Linked DNA regions of Callithrix jacchus. The protein of the gene in region 1 binds, or shares a complex with, the protein of each later gene. Links are inferred from orthologs where the notes say so. Each region holds a gene or a part of one and is shown on either strand. Other genes may lie near its edges. The genes, in order: JAML and CXADR.

Evidence for each region.
Region 2: the proteins of JAML (region 1) and CXADR are in contact, whole or in part, in a crystal structure (PDB 3MJ7), measured with the Mus musculus proteins. The link is inferred for Callithrix jacchus from reciprocal best matches to the Homo sapiens genes JAML and CXADR. Residues at the interface, in NP_001005421.3 of Mus musculus: Arg57, Asp59, Ala69, Tyr72, Phe75, Tyr77, Leu80, Val82, Glu120, Arg122, Ser127, Met128, Val129, Met130, Lys131; in NP_001020363.1 of Mus musculus: Thr23, Gly51, Pro52, Asp54, Glu56, Leu58, Ser60, Gln65, Ile66, Val67, Asp68, Gln69, Val70, Leu73, Tyr83, Lys121, Lys123, Lys124, Ala125, Pro126, Gly127, Val128, Asn130.

What each region holds. Positions count from the first base shown.
Region 1 is NC_133511.1:17,863,985-17,876,580, reverse strand, and holds the start of JAML (junctional adhesion molecule-like), read left to right. Parts: upstream 1-4,447; 5' UTR 4,448-4,518; intron 4,519-12,596. UniProt on the Homo sapiens protein: Transmembrane protein of the plasma membrane of leukocytes that control their migration and activation through interaction with CXADR, a plasma membrane receptor found on adjacent epithelial and endothelial cells.
Region 2 is NC_133522.1:24,524,316-24,536,275, forward strand, and holds part of CXADR (coxsackievirus and adenovirus receptor), read left to right. Parts: intron 1-5,743; coding exon 5,744-5,899; intron 5,900-7,430; coding exon 7,431-7,553; intron 7,554-8,372; coding exon 8,373-8,511; intron 8,512-11,960. UniProt on the Homo sapiens protein: Component of the epithelial apical junction complex that may function as a homophilic cell adhesion molecule and is essential for tight junction integrity.

The DNA.
Region 1 (12,596 bases):
TCCAACTGTTCGAAGGAGAATCCTGCATGTAGGCCGCACCGCTGATGCCAGAATCACTTTCTAAATGAAGTGGCGCTTGTGGCTTCCTGATTTGTCACCAGACAAAACGTTTGCTTAGGATGGTATTCTTTGTTTTTTGCTCCAGGTACACTTTCAGCTGTGAGTAGGATAGGACATACGCTCGTTGGTTTAACCACCTCAACCTCAGTTGTTTTTGGGTAACTTAGAGTGTATACTCTCAGTTTCCTTAAAGTTGATGGGATCAAATCTTTGGTTTGCTTTGACTGGGTTTTGAAAGTATTAAATACAATGTCATCAATTTACAATTCAGGAAGGGAATAGCGAGGTAGAATAATTATTTTCTTTAGTCTTGCTGGTACAGTTTGGGCCAAGGAGTCTTTTATAGCTACTACTTTTCAAGTCAGAGGCAAGAAAAATTCTTTACAGGTTTTTAGTAGCGGCTTATAGAGTATTTCAGGAGTTCTTTGCGAATATATCATGTTTTCACTTGTATTGTTTTTCAAAACTTTGTTGATTTCTGAAATGTGCCAACTATGAGTAAACTATGAGGACTTGTAAGCTGTTTTTACATAATATTTGAGATGAGGAAGTGAGATTGTGCATAGCATAGTTCTCCTTTCTGTTCTCAGTGCCTTGTAACAGCTTACTCCATTCTGCTATAACAGCTTGTTTCAAATTTTAATTTACATGGGACTTTTTTTTTTTGAGATGGAGTTTCGCTCTTGTTACCCAGGCTGGAGTGCAATGGCGCGATCTCGGCTCACCGCAACCTCCGCCCCCTGGGTTCAGGCAATTCTCCTGCCTCAGCCTCCTGAGTAGCTGGGATTACAGGCACGCGCCACCGTGTCCAGCTAATTTTTTGTAATTTTTAGTAGAGACGGGGTTTCACCATGTTGACCAGGATGGTCTCGATCTCTTGACCTCGTGATCCAATTTTTATAAGCCCTGAAGGCGTATAGATAGCATATCAGTAAAGATGGATAGTGCATATATAAACAGTCCTCTGTAATAGTGATCGGGTTCACTTCTCAATTATGAGAGACAAAAATTATCCCCTCACTGGTCTCTATTCTTTCAACAGGTTGATCCCTTTTCATGGTTTTCATTAGATAGTTCAGGAAGTTTCCATCTTACAGCATTTTAGAGTGTATATGTTAGTTTAAAAACCACTTTTCTCTCTCAATCTCTCTCTCTCTCTCTCTCTCTCTCTCTCTCTTTTTTTTTGCCAAGATCTAATTTAAAACATGTGGGTTGTTAGATCTGTCTCATGGAGTTGGCCTGGTCTCTACTATTAACCTGGTCCACAGATCGGAAAATCTGTTTAGTTGGAGGATATCGTGATTGACTCTGGTCACGCGAGGAAGTAGAAGGGCACAGACAGGACCGGCAGCTGACATTTCCAGTGGTTACACCTCATGGTACTTTGGGCTGCTTGTTAACTTATGCGGTTGTCTCAGGCCAATCTAACGTGACCATGTCTGACACCTCAGCAGAGAGAGGAAAGGAACTGGAGCAAAGAGAGTAAATAATTCAAATCTCTAGAGATTTGAAGATAGAGATCTAATTGTGAGGGGAACTTTCTCGGTGTCCTCATTTCTCCGAGAAAGAGATAATGTCACAGGAACTCACTGAAAGCCACATCCCATTAAATGAGGAACCAGTTTTGGCCGGGCCTTCTTGTAAAGTCCTTGCAGGTGTGTTGTGAAGATCACTGCCGGGTGGTATGTTTGTAGACTGACACCTAGTCTAAGCTCGAGGTAGCTGGTGCTCTGCGAGTACTTAGTCATGTTCTTTTGCAGCCTTAATCGTGACTTGAACTAGTCCCTTCCTTTTAAAAACTGAACAATAGAGTCCTTCATGGTAAGAGAGTACGTTGACAATTTAGTTTACCTAATTTACTTGACTTCATGGGTTTGTAGTCACATCTGTCATTGGCTGCTATCATTTTCCTTCTTTATCCCTTATATTGAGATTTGGGTTACAGCTTTTTATTCTTCAAAGGGTCCCAAAGCAGTGTACAGATGCCTGCCTTCTTTAAGGATGAAAGGAAGAGAAAGTGGTTTACTGTTTACCTGTCTCACCTATTGTTGAATAACTTCTAAGGTGCTATTTTGCTCACTTTGCTACTCCATGGGCACTTGTCATACCCCTGGAAACCAGCTTCATTTAGAAAGGGAACTTAGTTCAGAAGGGGTTGAAAACCTTTCAGAATTTTTCTTTAGCTGCTGAAGTTTTACTTAGCTGCTGAAGTTACATTACCTGGAGTTTTAGGCATTAAGCTCTTAATTCTATTACAAAATGTGAACTTGTCAATTGCTTTGTGTTCTCCATGTGACCTGCTACTTCAGGCTTCTTGGGGAACATCTTAGTCCTCTGCAGCTCCTGAACTCGGCACTGGTGCTTCAGGAGAGAAGGTAGCACGTCTTTGTTAAAAACAAAACGGAACAAAACAAAATGACCCTTCTGGAGGCCACATCCTGAATATGAACCTTCTACTAAGTCACTCAGTTATGGTTCTACAGGGAAACTGTAAGGAGACCATAAGGAGTGGGCCAAGACTGTTATATAATTGCACAACTTGAAACTTCGCTGCCAGAAGAGGCAGCTCCGTTCCTGTGACTCCAGTGTTGGGCTGTTAACTGCCGCATCTCATTGCCTTTTTTGTTTTTTGTAGGAGGGTAGGCACTGTTGGGGCATATGCACAGATATTGTAACTCTTGGTATCTTTACTGCATCATAATTAATAAAGTTCTTTGCTCCCTTCGGCTACCTTTTTGTGTGTGGTTATCTACATATAAGGTGGGAGTTGTCATGTGAAAGAGATGGGGGTTTGTGGTGTTAAGAGAAACTTGAACTGAATTAAATTGAAAAGAATTTAATTGAGTACAGAATGATTTATGAATCGGGCAGTCCGCTGAGCCACAGTAGGCTCAGAGACTCCAGCGCAGCCATGTGGCAGAAGATTTATGGACAGAAAAAGGAAAGTGATGTACGGAAAACGGAAGTGAGATACAGAAACAGCTGATTGGTTACAGCTCGGGGTTTGCCTTATTTGAACAGTTTGAACCATTGGCTGTCTTCGGTTGGCCAAACTCCATGACTGGCACAAGAGTAGACTACAGTCTGTATACTATTCCATTTAGGTTACAGTTCATGAGGTACAGAAAAACCTTTAGGCCAAACTTAAAATATGTGAGGAGGCAGCTTTAGGCTAAGCCTGATTTAATAGTGGTTTTCACCATTATGCAACCAGTCACGTCTGGGCTGTACCCCAGCAAGAACCTGCAGAGATTCCGTGGAGTGCTGGAACCAGCTGACATAGCAAGAGCTGATTACAGGCTGAGTATTCCTAATCTGAAAATACAAAACCTGAAATACTCCAAAGTCTGAAACATTTAGTGCCAACATGATGCTCCAAAGAAATGGTTATTGGAGCATTTTGGATTTTCAGATCAGGGATGTTCAACTGGTATATTTTTGGCAAATATTATAAAATCTGAAAAAAATAAGAAATCTGAAACACTTCTGCTCCCAAGCATGTTGGATAAGGGATACTCCACCCATATTAAATTTTTAGGAATTTTGCAGGCCAGTTGGTAGCTTGAAATAGGCCATGACGAAGATATTTATGCTGTGGAGATAGCTGGCTGTCCAGCACACAAGTTCTCAAGGACCACGTAGCATAGTACTTGGGAGCAAACATTCAACAGCTTTTCAGATGATACAGGACAAGTTCCATAAGATGAGTCTGCCCATGTCTAGGTCAAGATTGAAGATGTGTCCATTGAAAACACCTATTTTGAAGTGGTAACTGAGAGGTATCTTGAAGTGAAGAAGCCTTGAGTTCTTATCTAGGATATCTAAGTCACCCAAGAGGTTCTCTGTGAGAATAAATTGCTTCTGGTATTCTGGAAAGGCTGATATCACATGACCAGAAGAAACTACCATGTGTAGGTGGTGAGCTGGAGGACTGGGCAGGCAGATCTTTGGAAGCAGGGGTTGGGTGATTGCCTGGCAAGGTTGCACCTCTGTTTTGAGAGGAAAAATAGAAGAGGTTGCTGTATCTTAAACACAGAATATTTTTTGTTAATATTAAATTTATTGTATTTTGTTTTCATGAAACGGATTTCTTTCTCAGCACCTATTATATGCCTGGTGTCATTCAAGTTTTTACCCTCAGAGGCAGGAGATGGCACCTTGTCATCTAAAAGAAGAGATGGCCCCTGAAGAGGTCTGAGTGTAAGGTTCACCTCAGTGTGTTGAATTTGTCGCCTCCTTTTAGAATGAGAGTATACATAAAAATTGGGTAATGGGTTAGAAGACTGAAATGAGAAGCTTAGAGTTCCTGTTTGCATCTCTGCAGCCACTTCAGAAGGCACGTGTTTGGTGGCTCTGACCTAACCTAGAGTGCTCACAGAAGTCTTTCGGTTGAGCTTGGGAACTGCAGCTGCAGGAAGATTTCAGTGCATCGCTTCTCCTGGGTGCTCATCATCTTGGGTAAGCAGTCGCTTTGAATTTCTTAAGCCATTATTTGAACTTTTCTCATTCAGAAGTGTGCCAGTTCTGAAGGCTCGTTGAATTGGCAGTCTCTCAGGATTGTGAATTGCAGAACTCTTGATCTCTGCAGGGGATGTCATAGAGCAGTCTAGTGGGTGCTGTTTCAATTACTGTCGTGTGGAGTAACTTAGGTGAATCTCCTCAGCAAAAAGAGGAGCAAAGTTTGCTCATAATGAGTATATGACGATGATGATGATAAGGCTTCAGCTTTTAAGTCATCTCTAGGTTTTGGTAGAGCCATGACTGGCTGTCCTTGAGCTCATGGCAGAGCTCTTCCTTCACTGTTTTTATTTTTAGAAGACAGTTTTAAATTTTATTTTAAAACAAATTTTATTATGTGTGTTTAAGATATAGAACATAATGCTGTAGATACCTGTAGATAGTATAAAGTTTACTATGGTGAAGCAGATTAATATAGCCATCATTTCACGTAGTTACACCACTGTTTTCTTCTCCCCATTACAGACAAGCCAATATTTAACCTTTAGGAGCCTGAGACTTAAACCTCCCAAGAGATCTAGGCTACTGGCCATACTTATTATACCTCAGCACAGCCCTGACCTTGGGAAAGGCCAATGTATGAAGGTTTAAATATAACCCAGTCTGAAGAAGGAAGCAGGAGTAAGGACCTCCAGGGTCCCATTCGTGTAGAAGGCTAACTGATGTGACCTGGACTGTGTTACAGAAGCCGTGTAACCTACCAGTCTGTATTTAGTGGCTTAAGAAGGAAAAATGAAGGCATATTTTAAGAGGCATGGCGTAGAGTGGTTACACGGACTCGTATACCTAAAAACGCCTGAGAGCCCAGAGCTGCACAGCAGTGCGCAGAGAGATTGAGGGGACTTGGCATTGCAGGTGGACAACACTCTTTGAGTAAGGCAAGGCTGTGCTGTTGTTCATTTTCTCAGTGGTTAGTTGTCCTTGCTAGGGACAATCTCTGACTAAGAGACAGCAACTCTCCCTTATTTTGTCTCATGATATTGTAATTTTGGGAGGTACGAATCTTATGTGGCATGCTGCTTTTCTAAAGATTTTTTTTTTCTGTAGTACCTGCCAAGGAGAGCAATTCCCCTACATTGTTTAGTAACTTTTAAAAATTGACACATAATAATTACACATATTTATGGAGTGAGTGCCCAGGGATGTTTTCATACATACAATGTATAGTGATCAGATCAGGCTAATTAGCAGATCCATTGCCTCAAAGATTTTTTTCATTTATTATGTTAGGAACGCTCAATATCCTCCTTCTAGCTATTTGAAACTATGTATCATTGTTAACCTTAGCCATCTTTTTTTTTTTTTTTTTGAGACAGAGTTTCGCTCTTCTTACCCAGGCTGGAGTGCAATGGTGCGACCTCTGCTCACCACAATCTTCGCCTCCTGGGTTCAGGCAATTCTCCTGCCTCAGCCTCCCAAGTAGCTGGGATTACAGGCACATGCCACCGTGCCCAGCTAATTTTTTTTTGCATTTTTAGTAGAGACGGGGTTTCACCATGTTAACCAGGATGGTCTCCATCTCTTGACTTCGTGATCCACCCGCCTCGGCCTCCCAAAGTGCTGGGATTACAGGCTTGAGCCACCGCGCCCGGCCAGCCTTAGCCATCTTAATGTGGTATAGGACACTCAAACGTATTCTCCCTATCTAGCTGTAATTTTGTTTCCTTTAGTAAATCTCTCCCTATGTCCCTTCTCCCCTAGCATCCTCTGTTCTACTTTTTACTTCTGAGATCAACATTTTTCACTTCCACATATAAGTAAGACCACTCAGTGTTTAAGTTTCTGTTCCTGGCTTATCTAACTTAACAGAATGGAATTCTGCTACTGCGGATTCCAGTTCCATTTATGTTACTGCGAAACACAGGATTTTATTCTTTTTAATGCTAAAATAATATTTCATTGTGTACATAGGTCACATTTTCTTTACCCATTTATCTGTTGTTGGACACCTAGATTGATTCTGTATCTTGGCTATTGCAATAGTGCTGCAGTCAACATGGGAGTGTAGAGGTCTCTTCAATATACCGATTTCCTTTTCTTTGGATAAATGTCCAGTGGTGGGATTGCTAGGTCATATGGTAGTTCTATTTGTAGTTTTTTTGAGGGACCTCCATATTGTCTTGGGTAGTGACTAGCCAGGGCCGGTGTCACGGGAGGTAAGGGTATTTACCAAGAAAGTCGTAAGTAAAGAAAGGGAGATTTATTAGAGAAGGTATGAAATATGTTGCAAGATTGCCATGGGCATCGCAACAGGAAAGGGCTGTCTACAGAGAGGCAGGGACTAGAGAGAAGTTTTACAGGGTTGTGCTAGAGGGGGCTACCTGTGGAATGAGGTCACTGTGCCCACAGAGGTCGTTGTGGCCTTGGGTTGTTTGATTTGCTGACTCTCAGTACAGTTGTTCATTGTTCTTCCCCACCTGGGGCCCTCGCCAACTTGGGGCCCCTTCCTCATTGTCGCTTACTTATCAGGACACTACATTCCACCCCTGGCAGAGCAACAATGACAAATCTTGGGCATTGGGCAGAGGTCTCATCTTCCAGCTGCTTCCTGCTGACCAGGGGCATAGCGTTCTCCCTACCTAGAATTGTTGATCTGTTAAGGGACCCTGTGGATCACTGTCCTGGATTGTGGGATATAGGACATTAGATTTTGCTGGAGGAAGGGTCTCATCAGAGGAGGGAGCATGTGAAGGCAAAACTGGTATCCAGCTGAATTCAGGGGAGACTTGTAAAGGTAGCAGCCATCAATAGGGAGAGACTGATGTCCCGTTCACAACATCATCTGAAGGCGAAAGTGCTGAATTCCAGAAGGTAAAATTTTGTTTCTTAAGCCAGTTACTGAAAATGTGAAGAAACGTCTTTTGCAGTGTGACTGTTTTTCCTTATTGAAAGCCCTTTTAGATAACCTGGAAGTTTCTTGATGAAAAGCATTTGAATTTAAATAGACACAGCATAGGGAACAATTTTGGACTATTATACCTCAGTTACATACAACATTCTTTTAATAAATTTCTTTCATGAATTTTCTCATGGCTTATACCATGTATGACATGCTTAGACTTTATGACTTCTCCTAAATATATATTTTTTTCTTTTTCTTTTTTGAGATGGAGTTTCACTTTTGTTGCTCAGGCTGGAGCGCAGTGGTGTGATCTTGGCTCACCACAGTCTCTGCCTTCCACATTCAAGTTCAATTCTCTTGCCTCAGCCTCTCAAGTAGCTGGGATTTCAGGCACCTGCCACCATGCCCTGCTAATTTTTTGTATTTTTAGTAGTGATGGTGAAACCATGTTGGCCAGGCTGGTCTCGAACTCCGGAACTCAGGTGATCCGCCTGCCTTGGCCTCCCAAAGTGCTGGGATTACAGGCATGAGCCACTGTGCCCAGCCAACATCCTTGTTTCTTAACAATTGGTCATTTTACTTTACAACAAGAATTTACAACACAAGATCCTTTCTTACATAAAATCTCTTTCTTTATAACTCTCCTTACCAAAAATATCTCTTCACTTTTATAACCTTTTTTCTTCTTCTTCTTCTTCTTTTTTTTTGAGACAGAGTCTTACTCTATGCCCAGGCTGGAGTGCAGTGATGCAATCTCGATTCACTGCAACCTCTGCCTGCTGGGTTCAAGTGATTCTCAGGCCTTAGCCTCCCAAGTAGCTGAAACTACAGGTAGATGCCACTATGCTTGGCTAATGTTTGTATTTTTAGTAGAGACTGGGTTTTATCATGTTGGGTAGGCTGGTCTTGAACTCCTGACCTCAAGTGTTCTACCACCTTAGCCTCCCAAAGTGCTGAGATTACAGGCGTGAGCCACTGCACTTGGCTTTCACCTTTATGTTATTCTTTATAACTCTCTTATTTCCTGGTTCCTTTTACCTTGTTTTATATATAACCTCTTTTTTTTTTTTTTGATATGGAGTCTCACTCTATTGTCTAGGCTGGAATGCAGTGGCACAGTCTTGGCTCACTGCAATTTCTACCTCATGGGTTCAAGCAATTGTTCTGCCTCAGCCTCCCAATTAGTTGTGACTACAGGTGTGTGCCACCACACCCAGCTAATTTTTGCATTTTTTAAAGTAGAGACAGGGCTTTGCCATGTTGGCCAGGCTGGTTTTGAACTCCTGACCTCTGGTGATCTACCTGCCTTGGCCTCCCAAAGTGCTGGGATTACAGGAGTGAGTCACCATGCCCAGCCTATATATAACCTTTAAGTAATCTTTGAATTAGACAAAAAATATTTTCCTTTTGTTAGGAAGTTAAGGTTTATACTGCGTGTTGCTGTGTGAGTTCTGTGAAAGGGGCACAAATGAAGAGATTATCCCCCCTCAAGAGATTGCTGGGTTAAATTTCTTGCTAGGGTGTGCCTGAATAAGTGTGGCTCTTTTTAAACCCCTGAGGTAGGACTATCTAGGTTGAACCTATTGGTTAAAGATTTCGGTAGCTTTTCTGGGAGAAAAAGAGATATTAGAGGGAAAGATGAATTCAGAAGTTGGGTAAACATTAAGCAGGCACCCATCTTGGAAAGGATATAGTTGCCTCAAAGGGGTGTGGGGCATTTGGATATTACCAGGGACTGGTAGGGGAATGGTAATTAATCCCTTAAGTAATATGAAGGGGTATGGACTTTTCCTTTTGGAGGGAGGGGGTGCCACTTGTTCTCCTTACTCTACAGGGTTTGGAGGAGAGTTGCTCAGAGAAGATTAGTATAGAGTCGCTACAAGTCACTTCTGTAGCCAAAGGATAAGTCCAAAATGTCTAAAGGCAAAATCTTTACTTGCTAATAGAGGGGAGACGCCACTTTCCAAACAGGTCACAATAAAGACAGCATGAGGCCAACCAAATCTGTTTCTCTCTCCTCCTTTTTCTGTTGTTTACTAAAAGGTAAACAAAAATCTTTCATTATTTTAAAACATTACATAAAAATCTTGTTTAAAAGAGAAAGCCAAATTTCACCTTTGCATTAGTATATTATTAATGTTAAACATAATTCTTAATAAAATCTTATAAACAAATCTATACAATCATAATCAGTTTGACCATAAGGTAAAATGTCCATAAACCTCTCCTAAGTCTTTACAATTTTCTGTTGAACAAACAAATTCTCTGGAAAGCCATTATTGAGACACATGGGCCCAGATTCTGGCCCTACATCAGTATGCTTTTATTTCAGTGTTTGACCTATGGAAAAACTAAATGATTCCTTATGCCCACAGAACTTTTCACAAGATTAACCCTTCACAAATCATTTTCAACACGCTTAAATCATCAGTTTTGTACCATTACTCTTTTTTGTTGTTGTTGAGAAGGGGTCTCGTTCTGTTTTCTAGGCTGGCTGGTGTGCAGTGGTACAATCTTGGCTCACTGCAACCTCCACCTCCCGAGGTCAAGTGATTCCTCTGCCTCAGCCTCCCAAGTAGCTGGGATTATAGGCACCTGCCACCATGCCTGACTAATTTTTGTATTTTTACAAAATACAAAAATTGGGTTTGTCATGTTGGCCAGGCTGGTCTTAAACTCCTGACCTCAAGTGGTCTGCCCACCTCAGCCTCCCAAAGTGCTGGGATTACAGGCGTGAGCTACCATGCCAAGCTGTCCCGTTACTCTTTTAGGTGAGGCCAATACTTAAAACCCTCTGAGCTAGACAAAATTATGTTCTCTTTTACAGAAACCATACTCACATGCCTTCTTATAACCTCCCACCGAGAACACATTCTTTATTTACACTGTCTTTATTTTTTATTTTATTTACACTATCTTTATTTTGTATTATATTTACACTGTCTTTATTTTTTATTTTATTTATACTGTCTTTATTTTTAAATTATATTTACAGTCTTTTTTTAATCATTAGAGTCATGTGACCTAAAAGAGATTAAAGTTTCAATTTTTCTGATAATAGGTTTGATTTTAGTTTCCTTAAGCCAATTAATTAGAGCTTTTATATAAATACTATACACACAACACATATAAATACACAGACAGACAGAAATGGAGAATCAAGACAAAATTCCATTGACTGAGAAGTTTTTAGAGAGAAGGGGCTTTTTTTTTTTTTGAGACAGGCAGACTGGAGTGCAGTGGTGCAATCACAACTCACTGCAGCCTCAACCTCTTGGGCTCAAGTGATCCTCCCACTTCAGCCTCCTGAGTAGCTAAGGCTACAGATGCCTGCCACTACACCCAGCTTTTGGTAGAGATGGGGTTTTCCCAAGTTGCCCAGACAGGTCTCAAACTCCTGAGCTCGAGCGATCTGTCTGCCTCTGCCTCTCAAAGTGCTACAATTACAGGCATGAGCCACTGTGCCTGACCAGCAGGGGCTTTTAAAACAGTATCTGTATAATACAGGCCAAATATCATCTTTAATTAAGTTGATTTCTGACTATGGGGTTCTCAAAGTAAAAATCCCTTAAAAATCTTTTATTACCAGACTTTAGCCAGGACAAATGGCCAATATTTCTGGCTTTTGAATCTTTACCTAAAGGTTACCTCCTATGTGAAATTTGTAAGCCGTAAATAAGGGGATGACTTAAACACAGACACACAGTGTCTCCAAAGAGATGGTAAGCAATTTACAAGATCTAGAATTGCCCCAAAGGTAACTCAGAGAAAAGAAAATTTCAAGACAGGAAATCAGGAGCTGTCCACGGAGGGAAAAAGAATCAATAAATGATTAAGCCCCAGAAGACTCACTTTTGAAACCGGGAATTGAACCCAAGGCACCAGTGTAAGAGGGCAAAGCCTTAGCAACTGAGCTACAGCAAGAGTCCCCAACCCCAGGGCAGTAGGCTGGTTCTGGTCCACGGCCTGTTAGGAACCAAACTGCACAGCAACAGGTAAGCGGTGGACAAGCGAGTATTACCACCTGGGCTCTGCCTCCCGTCAGATCAGCGGAGGCATTAGATTCTCATGAAAGCGTGAACCCTATTGTGAACCTCTTATGAAGGAACATAAGGGGGTTTCCTTCTTATGAGAATCTAATGCCTGGCGATCTAAGGTGGAACAGTTTCATCCCAAAATCATCCCTTGCCTTCCCTGGTCTGTGGAAAAATTGTCTTCCATGAAAAGGGTCTCTGATGCCAAAAAGATTGGGGGCCACTGACCTATAGTGCAAGGTGGCTGCTGTTAGTTTTTTCCAGGAGGATTTTAGAGCATTTGCAAGCTTACAAAGGATTTTAACTTCTCGAGAGAACTTTCTAGGACTAGCCATGTTATTTTTACGCATGCTTCTTTTAATTTAGTCTTGTTCTTTTAATGGTGTACTCAGTTCCAGTAGTGACTCAATCTAAAAGCCTGTTGAAGTCCAGATAGTAATTTTCCAGATTTTTACCACGTAAGCAAAAGGTATTTCCAGAAACGGGTAGAGGAGGCATCTCCATGACAGGCAGCTCTTGAACTCAAAGGGCTTATACTCTTGGGGGTGGAGGTAGAGAGCAGTGTCTTAGTTAAGTGAGCACACAAATAAATAGGTAATTAGACATGGTGGCCCATGCCCTAAAGGAAAGGTAGAGGTACTATTAAGACATGTGGCTTGGGGACCTGACCTGGGATGAATGGTTGAGGAGAGGTTTCTCAAGGAGATGATGTTTGACTTGAGATGTGGGCAATCTGAGTAGGTGTTAACTGGGTGAAGGCCTGAGCAAGGTGGATTGGAAGACCATTCAGTCATGGGGAGCAGATTAATCTCGTTTTGATGAATGAAGTTCAGAGAAGCTTTGCTGTGAAATATTGATTACTCTCCCAAGTGTGGAGGAGCAGCATAGTGTGGCAAAGACACAGGCTCAGACCCAGAATGCCTGGGTTTGAATTTTCTTGCTCTGCCATTTGCTCTGGGTTCTTAATCGCCATTCTCTGCCTCAGGTTCCTCACCTGTAAAACCTCATGGGGTTGTGGTCAGGATTAATGAGTTCATGTGTAAAGCATCCAGGACCTGGCCTTAACCTTCTCTGGTTTATTACATATCAACTACTGATTTCTAGTGTGCTGCTCTATTAAGAATAGAAGTCTGGGCCGGGTG
Region 2 (11,960 bases), on another chromosome or scaffold:
TGTAAAGAAGACTCTTTATTTTTGTCTTATTTTATCTTATCTGAGATTGAGTCCTTGTTGCCCAGGCTGGAGTGCAGTGTCACAATCTCTGCTCACTACAGCCTTTTCCTCCTAAGTTCAAGCAATTCTCCTGCCTCAGCCTCCCATGTAGCTGGGATTACAGGCATGCACCATCACGCCTGGCTAATTTTTGTATTTTTAGTAGAGACAGGATTTCACCATGTTGACCAGGCTTGTCTTGAACTCCTGACCTCAGGCGATCCACCCACCTTGGCCACCCAAAGTGCTGGGATTATAAGAATACTCTTTAAAGAACAATGTTCAAGATGGCTTGGGCACCCAACACTTAACTACTCCTTCTAGTAGACCTAGCACTTAACTACTTTTCCTAGAAACTAGGAAAAAGAGTGGGGATTTTTGTATACCTTAATGGTAAATTCATGGGTTGTCTTGGTAGATAAGACAGTCATCTGCCAGCAGCATCATTGAGTGGGCACCTGAAGGGATCCTGGTGAAATGTATCATTCTGAATCACACTAACTAAAAATATTTCTTGTGGTGTAAAAGTAAGGGAATCTGAAGAACAGGGAACCAGAAAAAGAAATATGGTAATGTTGGAAATTCGAACTTTCTGTGACTTCATTGCGTAAAATGGAGTAGCTTTTCTTTTTTATAAATGTATAAGCAAATAAAAGATTAACACCTGGTCTGAATTCTTACCACAGACCCAGGAATTCCTGAGATTATAACCCTGACTATACTTTCTTCTAACACTGCTCTCCAGAAAGTGTTGAGTTGGAAGATGTATACAGAATATTAACTGGTCCATGATATGCAAAGCAGAAGTCACTTGATTATCAGAATTATTTATTGTGAAACCCCTGTTTGATGGGACAGGTACACTGGGATGAATGGGGTTGGCACATATTCCCAGAAGAGTTGTGGAGAGCATATTTGTGTGTTTGTGTATTGTCTGGATCCTGTGGGACCAGCTTCAGGGTCACATTTGCAGTTCTCAACTGAAGAGATCATTGCAGCATACAGCAGCACATATCCCAAAAGGAACCTGAGTTGGGTGGCAGGGGTGGCACATAATGTGGCTCGGCGCACTCATGTCTGGAGCCATGACTGCCCAGCAGTAGAAATGGCCTTTTTACATAAAACTTCCAACCCCAGCATCTCATTCCTGAGAATGGATAAGTGTGAAGCATTGACATAGTTCATCCTGAGTCGCTCCTTTTATAGCCAAGTGAGCCTCGAATTCAAACCAGGGAGAGACAAAAGGGATGAATTGGAGATGAGAGGAGAAAGCGGGGAAGGATGACTGGTGCTCTGATCTGGGCGAGGTTGTGTCAGAGCCAGAGGATTTCTTGTAGCCCTTTTTTCCATGTTTTTAGATGAGTCATGACCGCTGCTGGGAGAAACCACCAGAATTGTATTCTCTTGAAGGTGAGAATGGGATTGAAGCTTATCTATTAGTTTTGCCTGGAAAGTCTGCCTGGATAATCTGGGGCAAAAGATAAGATGAAGTGCCCTCTAGTGACCCAACTGAGTGGTGGTCACTGGAGCTCATTCGAGTCACTGGTTGGTAGTGGCTCTGTCTAATGCTTTGGTTCTTTGGTGGGAAATCTGAAGTAGTTGCCCTCATGGCATTCACAGTGTAATGCCAGTTCATTCATTGAGCGGGTGTGTTATATGGCCATTCACCCAGACAGATGACTGTTAGTCTTCTGGATGTGAGGGGAAGCTTGTTGCTATAGCTTGCTCCATTGCCATGCCTGCCTTGCTCTTTCAGACACAGCAAAAGTGTATGTGGATGCAGCTCAGTAAAGAAGCAGCGGAAGTGGGAAATGATAACAAAGAGAATTGATAGAAAGTTACTATTGTGGCCACATATCACCAGCATCTTCCCCTGGAGCTCTGAAAGGGCCAGTTTATTGAAACCTTTTGATCTAAAGAGACAGAGTTGTTTTGAAGAGCAGAACATGCAGTTAACATTCCTGGACATATGTGGTTACTCACACTGCAGCATGCCACCAGATCACAGTGGCAACAGTAAGTGTAGCAGCTCAGTCATCACTGGCTTTAAAGGTCCTAAGGGATTTGCAAACCACTGATTCAGGGCAGGGCCCCTCACTACTTTTTATTTTGAAATAATTTTTAGTTTTATAGAAACGTTGCAAAAATACTGGGAAGTTTCTGAGAGTAGACCCATCATCTCATTTCCCCTAATGTAAACATCTTACAAAATCATAATTATCAAAACAGAAATTAACCTTGATAGGATACTATTAACTGAATTACAGACCCGATTTGAATTTTACTGTTTCCCAGGAATGTCCTTTTTGTACTAGGATTGTATCTAGAATCCACACTGCACTTATATCTCCTTGATCTCCGCCAGTCATGTCCAGGGGCAATGATATCACGTCTTATTGTTAATCGTGATCATTTACTTTAAGTTTTATCTGGTGGGTTTCTCCACTCTATAGTTATTTTTTTCCTTTCTAATTAAAAACTGTCTTGAGGGAAATACTTTGAGACTATGTTGTTTCTCATTTAAACATTTGCCTTTTGATTTTAGCATCTATTGATAGATTTTTCCTGGAATCAGGGTATTTTTGAACCAGTCAGAAACTGTATTTTTGGAAGGATGATATCATGATAAAAGCATTTCTTGTCTCATGTAGAGATTTAGAGTGTACTTCCTGTAGACTGGTATAGGCCACTAGCATGGAAAGATGATGCAGTAATACATGTATAGAGCAGAGCATTACTAAATTGATGGGATACCATGTCCATCTTCAACTCGATAGTCACTTACCCTTATCTGAGGACGATTGACTCTGTTAATGATCATGTAGGCAGATGTTCTGAGGACAGTGGTCAGGTATGTGGGAAGCCCAGACCAAACATTTAGGGACAAGACTTTATTTGTGCTCTCTTTGTGGTTTTCTTCTGTTCCAGCAGAGGACCATGGGTTAAGAATTAATCTTCCTTGCTTATAGCCATTACTGGAAATAAAAAAAAAAAAGGATTAATCTTCCCCGAGGTATAATGGTTGGATGTTGGCATGTAAAAGACTCGTACTTTCTCTTCCCAGTGGAAAGTAGGTGGGCTGCTCCAAAGTGTCCCTCAGAAACCCATGTTGGTAGAATTTTTATTGTGGATGGTTATAGTGAGGACCTGAACTTCCTAGCAGCAGCTTTAAATAACTCTCCATTATTAGATATGTTTAGATACGTTGGTTATGTGGGAGAAGAGGGATATAGAAAGGATAAGGGTTAGACTTAGAATTCCATATTACCCATAGATGTTTGATGCACAAAGCATTGCATCAGTTACTCATTTGCTGCTAATCTATTCCAATAAAGGATTTATTGGTAGTTTGAAGAAATGAAATAGAACAAGGCTTATTTCATTGAAGACTTTCAGGATGAAATAATTTGCAAAACTTATTTAAAAGTCCAACTGATAGAGTCTCCAGAGCACCTGGTCAGTTTGAAAAGTAAACAGATTTGTTTGGAAAAATCAACAATGCAGTTAAATATGTCTGTTAACCCTTATTTTAAAAGTGTTAAGTAGTAATAGATGAAGAGGAATACAGTTAAATTTGTTAAGGACTTACTAAGGAGTAAGATCACAGTTGACAACCTTAGTTTGAAGATACCCCACTGGATATGACAAATTGTGTTGAGCCAGTTTTGGGAAACAATTTGACAATTTCTTACACGGTTAAAATATTTACACTCACCATATGATCCAGCAGTTACTACGAAAAAGGAAACCATATGCCAGTGTTCAAGCAGTGTTCTTAATAGTGCAAAACTGTAAAATGCATTTACCTTTATTCATAGTAAAGAATAAAAACCCATTTGGGACTGAAAAAAGGAAAATCAGCTTAAACTAAAAATGAAAAAAAGCAATCTTGACATTTATCAGCCTGGAAGGACAGATACAGATAAAGTCAGCTGCAGAGTATATGAAAACATTGTCTCTCCCAAGCCTGTAGAGCAGTAGCAAAGCATAGACTATTGCTATCTTCCTAATGGTGCTCCCAGACCTACACTACCCATCCTCTACTGGAATGCTCAATTACTAAATGGCCCTGCCTCCTGACAGCTCCCACTTCCAGTTTAATCCTCATATCTCCTCAGAAACAGCCGGTTGAGAGCTGATGGCTACTTCCTTAGAACCTCCTCAGAATCCTTCAGCATCCTTACTCTTGTCCAGTGGCATTCTGTGGTTCCTCATAATGCCTTTCTCACTGGTCCATATGATTTTGATAGACTAAACACTTGCTCCTTGTCAGTTTGGCTAACAAGGCTTTCATAGTAGCCCCCAAACTGGAAACACAGTATTCATTAACAAGTGACTGAATAAGCAAACTTGTGTTATAATCATTCATTGAAATACTAAAATAACTACATGTAAAATAACATGGATCAATCTCAGAAATGGTATGCTGGATAAAAGAAAACAAACAGTATGTACTGTATTGTTCCATTCATGTAATTCTGGAAGAACTAATCTACAGCAGTAGAAATCTAATCAGTTGCTTCTTGGGCCAGGGTTTTAGAGTCACATGTATTGTAACTAGCATGAGGGAACTTTCTTCGGAGAGGGTTGGAGTGGTGCTTAATGGATACAGATCCATTTATTAAAAGTAATCAATGCACATGATTAACATGTTAACTGTATTGTGTGAATATTATGCCTTATTAAAGTTCAGCAGAAGAGCCTGCAATGTGGAGGTGTTAATCCAGGATTGGGGTGAGTTGCAGGTAATGGAGGTAGTCGCTGTCCTAAACAGTTACCCAGGAACACCTGGAATATAATCTCAGATTTCCTTTTATTTTAATATTCTTTTTTACATATGAATTTCCAGATTGTGAATATCTTTTTGACTCAGGGTCTGGTTCTGTCACCTAGGCTGGAGTGCAGTGACATGATTATAGCTTCACTGCAGCCTCAAAGTCTTGGTCTCAAGCAGTCCTCCTTCCTCAGCCTCCCAGGTAGCTAGGACAACAGGCCACATATCACCACATTCAGCTAATTTTTCAAAGTTTTTGTAGAGAAAGGGTCTTGCTATGTTACCTAGTCTGGTCTCAAACTCCTAACCTCAAGTGATCCCCTGCTGCCTTGGCCTCCCAAAGTGCTGGGATTACACCATGCCCAGCACAGATTTTTTTTTTATAACCTGCTCTTTGGATGGATTTGAGTTGATATAAATGCAGAGTGTTAGTTGGTCCTTTCTACACTAAATGAATTATCCCTGTTAGTATTTTTGATTATAAACTGCCTGATTGTCAGGGTTATGGCATTAGAGGGGTGTGACTTGGGACATACTGCCAGGGGGCTACATGTCAAGCATGGAGAAGAATAGCTAAGGAATGGAAGGGGGAGCTTCCTTGATTCTCAAGTGCTCTTGCCAGAAAAAAGCAAGTGCATCATCCTTGGTTTTTCAGGTATGCCTCGTGGAGTGGATGGGCGCCGAGCTACGCCTGAAAAATTGCCATATCTACTAATGCAGTGGCTGCTTGTCTCTGAGCTTATTCTTTTCTGTTTTGTCTCAGACAAAGCTGAGTAAACTGATGTTGATCACTTATTGTGGTCTTTCATTTTTTTGTGAATTCTGAACCCAGGACCAATTGATAATGAGTCAGTGGTTGTGCACAAGGCTGTAATCATAAAAGTAAGTTCCATTATCTTATGTAAACTCATAATTTATTTTCTTTTTCAGTTAAGCCTTCAGGTACAAGATGTTATGTTGATGGATCAGAAGAAATTGGAAATGACTTTAAACTAAAATGTGAACCAAAAGAAGGTTCACTTCCATTACAGTATGAATGGCAAAAATTGTCTGACTCACAGAAATTGCCCACTTCATGGTTATCAGGTACTGCTGATAATAGTATTTGTACCATGTGCCGTTGATCTGGACTAAAATATAGTAGGGGGGGGGTGTGTGTAGTTTGAGATAGGGCCTTGCTGTCTCTTCCAGGCTCACTGCAATCATGGCTTACTGCAGCTTCGCCCTCCCAGGCTCATGTCATCCTCCTGGAACTACAGGTGCATGCCATCATGCCCTGCTAATTAAAAAAAAAAATTGTAGAGATAGGATCCCCCTGTGTTGCCTGTGCTGGTGTCAAAGTCCTGGGCTCAAGGAGTCCTTCCTTGGCCTCCCAAAGTGCTGGGATTACAGGCATGAGCCGAGGCATGTGCCCAGCCTGCTTATATATTTTAGATTCCAAATGCTTTCCCTCTTCTACATAGAACAATCATGATTTCCATGGGAATTATTTAGTATTTTTTAATATCAATTTAGTGTCATGTATTATAAATGAAGAGCTATTTTATGATTTCATTTTTTAGGATATTATAATTTGTTACTTTGGCAGATTTTTTTTTTTTTTCTTTTTTCCTGAGACAAGGGGTGTCACTCTGTCACCCAAGCTGGAGTGCAGGGGCAGGATCTCGGCTCCCTGCAGTCTTCACCTCCCAGGCTCAAGTGATCCTTCCTCTTCAGCCTCCAGAGTAACTGAGACTACAGGCATGTGTCACTACACCCTGCTAATTTTTGTATTTTTTGTAGAGATGTAGTTTCTCCATGTTGCCCACATTGGTCTCAAACTCCTGGGTTCAAGCTCTCCACCCACGTCAGCCTCCCAAAGTGCTGGGTAAATTATAGGCATGAGCCATTGCACCTGGCTGATTTTTTTTTTTTAATTGATGAGAAATGTTTATGGTTATGACTTAGTGGCCAAAGTGTAATAAGAGTTGGATCTTTAGTGTTCTGCCTAAATTGAAATATAGTAATTTACCCATGGTGTGTCTATAAAAGAAAATCTGTGTGACACTAAACTAGAAAGTTCCAAATTGGCTGAATCTGTTCACCTATTTGCTGTAATTGACTTCTTAGTTTAAACTGATTACCAGGCTCCACCCGCCATCCGCTGCATTCTGGGCTTCAGTGGGCTTTCTCTGCCTTTCTTTTTCTCAAGCTAAGAGTCCGATTTGGGAGACCCCCATTGACTTCTTTTTGAATGTTTCTTCCATCGAGGGGGATAAAATAGGTTTTGTAAGTTTTCCTGCTGAATGAAAGATCCTTTGTAGAACGGGATAGTTTTATAGTCTGATGTGCCCCAAAGTGGGTTTGCAGCAGCCACACAGTGGGCCAACACACTGCTTCAGCTCTGAGGCCCTGTGGTGCAGGGGATCATGGTTACTTTCACCTTGATACATGTGAACTGGAAACATGATTCTTTGAATTCTGGAGACATGTGTGTGGCTCAGTGCTAGTTTGTTTGCAGCCAGCTTTGATCTGTCTTGCTTTTAACTGCATTGTCAAACTTGGTAGGGGCTATGTTTACTAACAGCTGAGAGTAATACATACTATAAAACTGAGTTTGTTTTTCCTCCTTCCATAGAAATGGCTTCATCTATTATATCTGTAAAAAATGCCTCTTCTGAGTACTCTGGGACATACAGCTGTACAGTCAGAAACAGAGTGGGCTCTGATCAGTGCCTGTTGCGTTTAAACGTTGTTCCTCGTAAGTATCTTCTTTCACTTGGTGGTTTTCTTTCTGTTATCTCTATACCATCTTCTTTAGTTCAGTTAGCAAGTGTGTATTAAGGGCAAGGGGACTCAGCCTTTGATCAGAACACTGGTTTGATTATTAGCTTTTCTAGAAAAAGTTTTGTTTTTTTTTTTTTTTGAGACGGAGTTTCGCTCTTGTTACCCAGGCTGGAGTGCAATGGCGCGATCTCGGCTCACTGCAACCTCCGCCTCCTGGGTTCAGGCAATTCTCCTGCCTCAGCCTCCTGAGTAGCTGGGATTACAGGCACGTGCCACCATGCCCAGCTAATTTTTTGTGTTTTTAGTAGAGGAGGTGTCTCACCATTTTGGCCAGGATGGTCTCGATCTCTTGACCTCATAATCCACCCACCTCGGCCTCCCAAAGTGCTGGGATTACAGGCTTGAGCCACCACGCCCGGCCCGAAAAAGATGTTTTATTTTAAAAACTTCATAATTGCAATGATATATTAAGAAGGTAAGAATTGTCAAATCAACCCTCGTACCATACTTATAAGTGTGAGTAGCTCAGAATATTCTCCTATGCTAATCAAGATAGCTTTGAATATTAAATTCTTTCAGACAGGTTTTATCATTTTTATGTTTGAAATAGATTATACAGTTCAGAAGAAAGTTCTTCTTATGAATTTTTTCTCTGGATCAAAAAGACTAAATTATTTGTCTCTTAAAGTTAATACATGTGATGAAATCAATCTATAAATGTGTAGCCTACCTTCAGTATCTATACATGTGTATTTTTTTTTATTATTAATTCTCATTAACTTCTTATTTTTAGCTTCAAATAAAGCTGGACTAATTGCAGGAGCCATTATAGGAATTTTGCTTGCTCTGGTGCTCATTGGTCTTATCATCTTTTGCTGTCATAAAAAGCGCAGAGAAGAAAAATATGAAAAGGAAGTTCATCATGATATCAGGTAATTATGTGAGACAGGAGCTGACCGATGATGTATACCAAGTGTGTGTCATGTCTCTAAAGCATTAGTTCTTTATTAACCATCCAAAGCAGCTTTCTTAGGAAAATGGATAAAAGCTTAGGCCCCCTTCTCCTCAATGCATTTACTGGTTTTTTTGTTTGTTTTTTGTTTTGAGATGGAGTCTCGCTCTGTCACCCAGGCTGGAGTGCAGTGGCATGATCTCAGTTCGCTGCAACCTCCACCTCACGGGTTCAAGCAATTCTCTTTCCTCAGCCTCCAGAGTAGCTGGGACAACAGGCGTGCACCACCACACCCAGCTAATTTTTGTGTTTTTTAGTAGAGACGGGTTTTCATCATGTTGGCCAGGAGGGCCTCGATCTCTTGACCTCATGATCACTTGGCCTTCCAAAGTGCTGGGATTATGGGCGTGAGCCACAGCGCCTGGCCAAGGCTTCAATGATTCTTAATGTCTCACTGGTGGAAGGTTTTGCCTCAGTGTTGATGCTGCTGCCGAAGGTTGGAGTGGCTGTGGCAATTTCTTTCTTTCTTTGGTTGTTGGTTTTGTTTGTTTGTTTGTTAAGACAAGGTCTTGTTTGCCCAGGCTGAAGTACAGTGGTACAGTTATGGCCCACTGCAACCTCTGCCCCCTGGGTTCAAGTAATATTCCCACTTCAGCTTCCCAAGTAGTAGCTAGGACTACAGGCATGAGCCACCACACCTGACTAATTTTTGTATATTTGTAGAGATGGGGTTTCACCACATTGCCAAGGCTGGTCTTGAACTCCTGGGCTTCGTTAGCTCCTACCAAGAATGTCAACCTGTCCTTTAAAGCATTGAAGCCACACACCAACTTCTTTAGCTATGAAAGGCCTAGATGGTGTTTTCTTGCAGTAGAAGTCTGTTCTGTCTGCTGAAAATCTGTTACTTAATGTAGTTACCTTCATCAACGATCTTCTGGATAACTTTCTGTAGCTTCTTCATCACCACTTTGTCGCATCACCTTGTACTTTCATGTCATGGAAATGGCTTGTTTCCCTAAACTCATGAACCAGCCTCTGCTAGCTTCCAACTTTCTTTCTGCAGCTGCCTTAGCTCTCTCAGCTTTGATAGAATTGAAGAGACTTAGGGCCTTGCTCTGGATTGGGCTTTGGTTTAAGGGAATGTTGTGACTCTTTTGACCCTCTATCCAGACCAGTAAACTTTCTCCATATCAGCAATAAGACTGTTTCACTTTCTTATTGTTCACATGTTCACTGGAATAGCACTTTAAGAACTTTTTCATTGCATTTACAATTTGGCTTGGCTGGGGCAAGAAACTAGCTTTCAACCAGACTTGATTTTCAGCATGCTGTCCTCGCTAAGGTTAATTATTTCTGGGTTTTGATTTAAAGAGGGCCATGCTGATGATTGCTTGAGTCCAGGAGTTTGAGCTTGCAGTGAGCTATGATCACACCACTGCACTCCTGCCTAGGTGACAGAGTAAGACTGTCTCAAAATAAATAAATAAAATACATATTTTTTAAGTGAGAGCTATGCTAACTATTCCTTTTACTTGAACACTTAGAGATCACTGCAAGGTTATTAAGTGGCCTAGTTTTAATATTGTTGTGTCTCAGGGAATAGAGAGGCCTGAGGGAGAGGTGAGTGACAGGGGTGGGGTAGAGTGGGGGAATGGCCAGAATACACATAATATTTATTAAGTTTGTTGTCTTATGTGGGCATAGTTCATGGCGCTCCAGAACAATTAAAATAGTAACATCAGAGATGACTGATCACAGATCACCCTAACAGGTATTATGATAATGAGAAAGTTTGAACTATTATGAGAATTTCCAAAATGCAACACAGACATGAAGTGAGCACATGCTATTGGAAAAATAGTACTGGTAGATTTGCTTGGCACAAGATTACCACAAACCTTCAATTTGTTATTTTAAAAAATGCAATCAATATCTATGAAGTGTAATAAAACCAAGTCACAATGAAATGATTATACCTGTATTTTTTAAATTTACTGAAGATCTCAGATACACAGTTATCCTTTGGTATCTGTGGAGGACCTCCTGTGGATACCAAAATCCAAGGATGCTCAAGTTCCTGATATAAAATGGTAGCCAGATGCAGTGACTCAGCCTATAGTCCCAGCACTTTGGGAGGCCAGGAAGGAGTTCAAGTCACCAACCTGAGGAAGATGGAAAGACTCCATCTCTATTAAAGAAAAAGAGGCCGGGTGCGGTGGCTCACGCCTATAATCCCAGCACTTTGGGAGGCCGAGGCGGGTGGATCATGAGGTCAAGAGATCGAGATCATCCTGGTTAACAAGGTGAAACCCCGTCTCTACTAAAAATACAAAAATTAGCTGGGCATGGTGGTGCACGCCTGTAGTCCCAGCTACTTGGGAGGCTGAGGCAGGAGAATTGCTTGAACCCAGAAGGCGGAGGTTGCAGTGAGCCGAGATCCTGCCATTGCACTCCAGTCTGGGTAACAACAGCGAAACTCCGTCTCAAAAAAAAAAGAAAGAAAAATAATATAAAATGGCATACTGTTTGTATATAACCTTCACATATTCCTCTGTATACTTTGAGTTATCTCTAGTTTATTTGTAATACCTGTTATAATGTAAATACTATGTAAATGGTTGTTATAATGTATTGTTTAGGGGATAGTAACAAATCTGTACATGTAAGGTAGAGATGTTATTTAAAAAAAAATTTTCTATATGTGGTTTGTTGGCTTCACAGGTGTGGAGCCCATGGATATGGAGAGCCAACTGAGCTCTTTGTCAGTGTGTGGAATGAAAATTCTTATGCTTAAATTCCCAGCAAACTTAAATCTCTAGTGTTTTCAGCTAAGGTTTTAGATAAATTTAATAGAAAACAAATTTTTCTTTTTTTTTTTTTTTAATTTTTTGAATTTTTATTTATTTATTTATTTATTTTTGAGAGAGTCTCATTCTGTCCCCCAGGCTGGAGTGTTGTGGCATGATCTCAGCTCACTGCAACCTCTGCCTCCTAGGTTCAAGCGGTTCTCCTGCTTCAGCCTCCCGAGTAGCTGGGATTACAGGCGCCTACCACCACGCTCTGCTAATGTTTTGTTTTTCTTGAAACGAAGTTTTACTCTGTTGCCCAGGCAATGGTATCATCTCAGCTCACTAAAACCTCCGCCTTACCCAGATTCAACTGATTCTTCTGCCTCAGCCTCATGAATAGTTGGGACTACAGGCGTGTGCCACCGCGCCTGGCTAATTTTTATATTTTTAATAGAGATCAGGTTTCACTTGTTAGCCAGATGGTCTTGATCTCTTGACCTCATGATCTGCCCACCTCGGCCTCTCGAAGTGGCTTACAGGTATAAACCACTGAGCCTGGCCAATTTTTGTATTTTCAGTAGAGACGGGGTTTCACCATGTTGGCCAGGCTGGCCTCAAACTCCTGACTTTAGGTGATCCG